Caenorhabditis elegans: one gene and its partner. The protein of the gene in region 2 purifies or fractionates together with the protein of the main gene of each other region. This does not show direct contact. Each region holds a gene or a part of one and is shown on either strand. Other genes may lie near its edges.

What was found.
Region 1: the proteins of nhr-162 (region 2) and ddx-52 fractionate together in Caenorhabditis elegans (co-fractionation; one large-scale study listed by BioGRID). This does not show direct contact.

The regions. Positions count from the first base shown.
Region 1 is NC_003279.8:8,596,523-8,600,279, reverse strand, and holds the start of ddx-52 (putative ATP-dependent RNA helicase DDX52), read right to left. Parts: upstream 1,623-3,757; coding exon 1,421-1,622; intron 1,370-1,420; coding exon 1,260-1,369; intron 1,212-1,259; coding exon 1,007-1,211; intron 962-1,006; coding exon 822-961; intron 776-821; coding exon 621-775; intron 576-620; coding exon 417-575; intron 368-416; coding exon 1-367. Other genes in the region: paxt-1 (Partner of xrn-2 protein 1), read right to left, coding at 1,855-2,114, 2,495-2,700, 2,748-2,878, 2,927-3,014, 3,063-3,160, 3,209-3,326.
Region 2 is NC_003283.11:6,990,214-6,993,970, forward strand, and holds the start of nhr-162 (NR LBD domain-containing protein), read right to left. Parts: upstream 1,659-3,757; 5' UTR 1,649-1,658; coding exon 1,587-1,648; intron 1,542-1,586; coding exon 1,399-1,541; intron 1,194-1,398; coding exon 1,114-1,193; intron 1,071-1,113; coding exon 560-1,070; intron 291-559; coding exon 43-290; 3' UTR 1-42.

The DNA of each region.
Region 1 (3,757 bases), on a different chromosome or scaffold from region 2:
CAATCCAACATCAGACAAGTCAAGACCTCTTCCAAGTAATTCAGTACAAACGAGAACCCATATCTCTCCTCGACGGAACCTTTCCATCGTTTCATCCCTTTCCTTATCACTTTTTCCACTGTTGATTGAATCAACTTTTAGATTTGAATCAATTGCAGACAGTAATTTCACCAGTTGCACGGCACGATCCTTGCTTTGTACAAAAACTAGAGCTGGTGGTTTGAAGGAAGTTCGCAACAAATTTCGAATAGCGATTTTCTTTCCATCTTCAGTTCCACAATAGGTTAACTTTTGCTTCACACTTGTATTAGACGAGTTTCGTTCACCAACACATACCATACCAATTTCATCGATATTCTCCTTACACCTGGAATTTAGATATGGAATTTTGATATGACAAATCTTCGAAAACGTACCATTTTTCAACTTCATGTGAAAATGTGGCACTGAAGAATGCGACACGTGTGCATTTGGCATCACAAGCCTTGTAAATTGCAGCGAGTTGGTTACGGAAGCACTTGTCCTGGCCTTCAACAACCTCGAACAAACGATCGGATTCATCAACGACAAGCCATCTGAAAAAATGAACAAAGTTTTTAGGGAATGGTTCAAATGCAAACCTTAATGAAGACGTATCAATTTTATCCAAATGAAAAACGATACGATTTGGAGTTGACACGAGGATATCTGCATGCTGAATATCAGTTTCTTCTCCACTGAAGTTGGCAGCTGAGATCGAAGTATTGGCGCAATATTTCAAAAATTCGGTGTAAGTCTGAAAATCGTTAAATTTGATTACGATTCTATAAATTCTGTAGAACCTGTGCTGCTAGTTCTCTTGTCGGTTCGAGTACCACTGCCAACAGCTTCGAAGAGTTAGAGGATGAATAATCAGCACGTTGCTTTAATTCGAGAATCTCATCGATGACTGGAAGAGCAAACGCCAACGTTTTTCCTGATCCTGGAACAGCCGGAATTGGAAGTTTTTCTCTTTTCAAGTCTTTACCTGTGGGAGCACTAGCAAGAACATTTCTTCTCTCAGTCATAAATGGAATTGATTGCATTTGAATTGGTGATGGTTGACGGATTGAATTCTCAGATAGACGATTGAGCAATGATGGTGACATGCTGGAATCGGAGAATCGTAGAATAATATTAGGAAGATGATCACCCCAAGTGAAAATTCGATTGGTACGGCGAATGTCGTCGAGCTGAAGATTTTTTTTCAAATAAAAATTAAATTTCTGTAGAAATCTCACCAATTTCTGCATTCTCTTTTCCACGTCGCCAACGGTCTCCTCCACTTCATTTTCAGAATCTCCGTCAGAATCATGTACTCTCTTTCGTGATGCAAGAATTTCAATCGACGCTGAATATTACAAATGGTTTATAAGTATTATACTAAATAGACAATATTAACCTTTCTTTTTATTTTTCTTCACTTTTTTCTCAATTTTTGACTCGACTTTTCCGATCATTTTTTCACGAAGTTCGTCATATCTCCGAAGCGATTCTTCTGTGATCGTTGATAGTTCTTTCTTTTTGTTAAGATCATCGGCATCTTTCTTTTTCGGTTGTGATCTTTTAATACCGAACGAAAGGGTTCTAAATGCCAAGGACATCTGAAATCACATATAGGTATACAGATTCGGGTGAACATTTCGAAAGAGGTAAAAATGATGAGATTCAACATCATTATAAAAAATTAGAGTAAAAATGCAACGATTAGTCAGTAAAATTCATAGGAAATTTGATGTAGTTGTATAAAAACCAAAGCCAAATATAAATAAAACAATAGAAATTATATTCACGAGTGCAAAAAAAGTAAGCTCCCCTAGATCAAGCTAATTGAGATTATTGGAATGCAAGAGAGCTGTGAGATTTCATAGAGTTAATGACGTTGATTTTATCGTTGAGAATCAGTTGACACACGTCTTCGCTCATTTGATTCGCGATCGTTGCCATCGCTGGTTTAGTGCATTCAGTGCTGGATAAAACACGAGAAGATAGAAGAAGATCGGCAGTGACGAGATCAAGTTGTTGAGACCATCCTTCCAATTTTTGAGTATTTTGAATCATTGACATGTTAACTGCATCCAAATATGTTGTAAGACCTGAAAAAGTTTTCTAAATACATTTTTTCAAAAGAAGGCAAAATTATTTGTTTTCCAATTGCCGTTCGGATTGAGTACTGTAACAAACTTTCGAGTTTTTTTCTTCCAATTTTCAAATATATTTTCTAAAAATAATTGTTTCAGGGAACGGCATCCATAAGTACCGGAAGCAATATTTTAAAATTTTTAAACGTGTTGCCGCTAATAAAAATGGGTTTACAGCCGAAAATTGATAAAACGAGCTTGCAATCAAATTCAACAATCCCACTTCTAAAATGATTTTTGAAGAGATATTGTTCCAACTTTTATAATCCTTACTTTTGAGACCAAATGTTTCATTCAATTTAGTGATACTGTTTTTTTAAATGAAAAAAGCTCGCCTTTAACTGTATGTGCACCATTAGAAACTGCTGATTTAATTTTTGCAAGTCTTCTGGTGACTGATTTAGCGTAACACTCGTCCACCGGAACTCCATCAAATCTAATTTCGTAGCTTTCTTCGTGAACAGCGGCGTCACACGAAAGAATGCTTTCAATTAGAGTATTGATTGCACAATCCCTTGGATCAACACAGTATTGGGAGAATCTGAAAGAACATGAAATTCAAATAGTTTCGAAGATTTTTATACAAACGTATGTCTGAAGGCCACATATCGATCGATAGTTATTTCAATTTTCTGGTTAATCTTGTTCACGTGCCACTTCATGAGACAACTATTCGTGGCAGTTTTCATCATTTGTTCGCCCGTTAGATGGTGAGGTGTCTGAAATTAAAAGATTAAAAGATTAAAAGTTAAATCTGAAATGTTCACCATTGCAAGAGATGCCTTGAGTTTTCCAAGACGTTCATCAAAAGATTCACGAGCTACTGGCGATGGAGACTTTTCCATTTTTACTTTTCTGGAACAAAAAGATTGAAAATTGCAATTTTTGAAAAGTTTTTTTTACTTAGACTCATCAGAAGCTCCTTCTAAATCTGATGTCTTCACTGCTTGTCGCTTTTTCGCTGCAGATGCCTTCACGTAACTTCCAGTTTTTGTACGATCCTGAATATTAAATTTGAAATATATTTTTAAATAATGAAGATCACTTACTTTGTTAGCAGCAATTCCAGCACCCATTGTTCGAATCTTTTGCATTAAAGTCTGAGAATATTCACATCCGAGAAGTGTTACATTAATGAATAATTGTGAGAGGCATTGAAGTTGGATTCTGGAATTGAAAATTGTTTTAGAAATAGTACAAGTGTGATATTATAAAACTAATGTTTTTTTTTCCAGAACACAATTTAGAAACATTAATTTTTTAAATCTATAAAATTTGAAATCAAAACAAATCAGGCATGGGTGGTAATTCTACAAAATGACGTATTGCGCCATGTTTTTCCAACACTTCTCATTAAAAATTATGTTCAAAATATAGAAATTCACTTGATTTAGTTGAAAATATTATCAATTTTAACTGAAACATTCGAAAAAAGAGCTCAAAAAGGAATGAAAAACTCCAATTTTTTTCGATGATTGGTAGCTTTCAGGTGATTTTTGACAGCTTTTTTGAATATTTCAGCTGCATAAAATGATTTTTTTTTAAAGATAAATCAAGTGATTTTCTTTATTTTGGCACTAATTTTTAATGAAAATATT
Region 2 (3,757 bases):
AAATTTGAGATCATAAGTAATAATATTTTTTGTACATGTAAATTATAGCTTTTTCACTTGGAAAATTGTCCTGAAATCTTCGTGTAGTGTAACATTATTAAACCCGCAGATAAGCACTTCTTCTTGTATTTTTTCCTCGGCTTTTTCTAGCAACAACAAAGTATCCATTGTTTCCACAAAACGCATTTCGTCGCAATTGCTGTCAGTTTGGTATCCTTTTAGTTCTCGTTGAACCACTTTTCGCACATTTTGACACAACTTTACGCCTTCCTCACTGATATTTGTGTATGCTGAAATGTTAAACAATTTTTAGAGAATTAATCCACCCTTAAATATTTTGCAATTTTTTAAATTTTGCAGAAAAACTGTAATTTTTGAAAACTAAAAATTGAAATGACAAATCACGAACAAAACATTTTACTCTGCTTAATCCTCCGATTTGGATTTTTTTTTCAGACTCGCATCTTTGAACCAATCATCGGATAGGTAACAGTGATTTCATGTTTAAATATTGTTGTTGTAGATGTTTTGTAGCAATGTGTAGCAAATTAAAACCTACCATCATCAAAAAGTAGCAACAGAAAAATAGCCATGTACTCAATTTTGTCGAGTTTTTTGAAATGAATCGGAACAGCGGTCTCGTAATAATGGAAATCCCAGTATGGTTTGAATATTTTTAAAATTTCGTGATCCTTTAATCGTTTTTCTTTCGGCATCGATGATCCGTAAAAATGAAGTAACATATCCGTATAATCTTTAGATTTGATATAAGCCTTTGATTCTTCGTAATCTGGACAAATCGCTACAGCTGAATCCAACATCATCCATCGAGGAAAAAAATTGCAAAGAATTGAATGCTTATCAGCCTCACTCAAAAGTTTTACATCTGTAAATATTTTCTCTCCAAGATCCCATAAAAGATGCGTGTCTCGCTTGACGAAGCTTGAAAATTGTGTAAAGTTTATTTCGCAAATTTTCTCTCCGTATAAGTCTTTTCGCATCTTTTCAACTTTTGTCCATTTACTCACTGTACACGAGATATTTGAGCAATCACGAGGTACTATGCGAGCCTAGAATATATGGTTTATTGAAATTTTTAAAATAAAAACTTACTGATAACAAAGATATTGAAGAGATATGTCCAGGTAGACTAGATGTGGTAATTTTATTTTTCTCTCTGGATCCTTGCACTTCTGAAAAAATTTACTTGTCAGGCTCTCGGGAGCAACTATTGGAGAAACTGAAACACACAAACGTACACTAGAGTTGAAAGTGAAAGAGTAAAAATACAAGCTATTGGAAACGCTATGATGCATTTTTGAAAAGAGGTAGCTATTTACGACTTTTTTTTCGATATTTCGTATATCATATTTAAACATTTCATCCATAAAAACTTACTACACTTTACCATTCCCGTTGCCATACATTTCAGCATCCGACAGTGTCTGCAGGGATGTGAAGTTGCCAACCGGTGCTTACACGTACATGAAATGTCCAACTTCCTTGAGTGTACATATCGTCTGAAAAATGCTGCGCATGCTCTGAAAAATTATCGATTTTTATTTTCAATTGAATACAACGCTCACCTACATGAAATTCCTCCGAAATGGGGCTCCGGTCCTTCTGCCCCGCACACCTGGCACAGCATCTGAAAATTGCAATTTTATTTTAAAATTATATTTATTGCATAAAAAAGAAACCATTATAGTTTGAATTTATGAATAAATACAGACGAATTGGTTGGTGTTTTATAGAACATTTCGAGATTTAAACAGAAATCTGTAGATCAAATTACTTGGTCTAGACTTGTGATTACTAGAATCATTAAAGAGGAAGTACATCTATAACAGCCGAATAAAAGCTGAAAAGCACATGCTGATCAGGCTCAGCACGTCCATTGCATTGACACACCCATGGCTGTCCATCGCACGCACCGACCGTGAAAAATGGAAAGAGTTTGTCCGCAGTTGCCTCGCAACTTGAACCCAACGGACATCAAAGTAAAGTATCAAAGTAAGTACCAAAGTACACACAATGTTCTTGCACTGTGCGTTGGGAGCAGGATTATTAGTAGCAGGCTTAAAATTATTAACCGCAGTGATACGGAAAACTTGTCAAAATTTAGAGTTTTCATAGCTAAAATTAGACTTTTTAAAAGTTTTGGAACTTAAAACATTTTTATTCTCGAAACAATTTCGATCATCTATAAAAACTATAAAACTATAAAACTATTATTTACAAATAATTTACAAAACTATTAGGAGAGTGCAATATAAATAGCAACATTCTAATATGGAGAATACGGTATCTAGTGAACTTTCAAAAAATAATATAGTTCAAAAATTTCCACCACAGACAGATTTAAAGATATAAAGATACCCCTGAGGACTCGCCGCTGGGCCGCTCAAGGTGAGAACGGCCGAGTGACGTACTGACATGGTTGTCAAATGGGCAAAGACAAAGGTCTCTCCCGTTCCACAATTATGGGATACCATACAGCTGTGTAACTAAACGTCGCAGCTTGCGAGAAACGTACCAATTGTAAGCTTTCAACTATACTATGGTTTTCTGTTTGTTGGGAGCATGTTTGATGCACAAAAAGTTTTACTGTGGATATCCACAAAAGTTAGCAAATGTTGAAAAAATGTCAAAGTTCAATCCAATGTAAATGGAAACTTTTTCAATTGAACTCGGAAGTGACTTTTTAAACTTTTTCACCATATCAATGATATCATTTTCAAAATGGGCGTTTTCATGTTTTTAAGTCATAGAAAAAGCCAGATAATAGTTTTACAGGGCTTTTTCGTTTATCAAAAACGAATTTTCTGCACTCTTGAACTATTAATATGTTAGTAATAATAAAAATGTTAACGGATATGGTAAATTTAAAATTGAACGTCAGAAAATTTAATCGAAATTTTCCAATCTTGCTATTGTCTTTTTTCAAGCCTAGATTAAATCACAAATGATATTGAGTTGAAATTTGAAAAATGAAATGGTCTATGAACATCTGTTCTGATTTTTTGGTACTCAGTGGGACTACTCATAAAATTGGAAAATTGGAAACAACTTCTTGAAAAAAACATTCAAATCGCTAATTGGGAAATGTCCTACCAATTTCAAGGTGACGAGTCATTGTCGTGAAACAACCCAAAATCGATAAATTGGAAATTGGTATTTGAGGTCAAGATTGCAAGTAAAGTAAGGTTCAAGTAAAAAACGCAACAAAAAACAATACAATCTTTAATATATAAACCCTTTCTTCTCTATTAATAAACACTAAGAAAAACTTAAGAAAAAAATCTGAGAACTTTCTGAGAACTTACAAAGAATTCAATTTGTTTCACTGTGATATCTTATCAGTATGTGGTTTATGCCGCCAAAAATAAGTTTATTCGTGTCAGTATGTAATTTAGTAAAGTGTTATGTTTTTATTTTCAAAACTATAATGTAGAGTTTTCAAGTTGACAGAGAATTTAAGATTTCTACGTTTACAAAAATGCGCACATGTCTTGAAGGTGACCGAGAATTTACAAACTCAAGCACCAATCACTACAAAAGGCATATAGTAGGCACGGTAGGCACAAAAGCCCAAAAAAATGCTTAACTATTTTAGAAGCTCTGAGAAAAGGTTTGCATCTTTCATTTCCTTTTTCATAGCAAAATATTGAACTGGTGAACTTTACGAACAGGTTTTGCAAAAAGTCACGTGAATTCGGCAAACGATGTTCCTCGAAAACATAGGATTAACGAATTT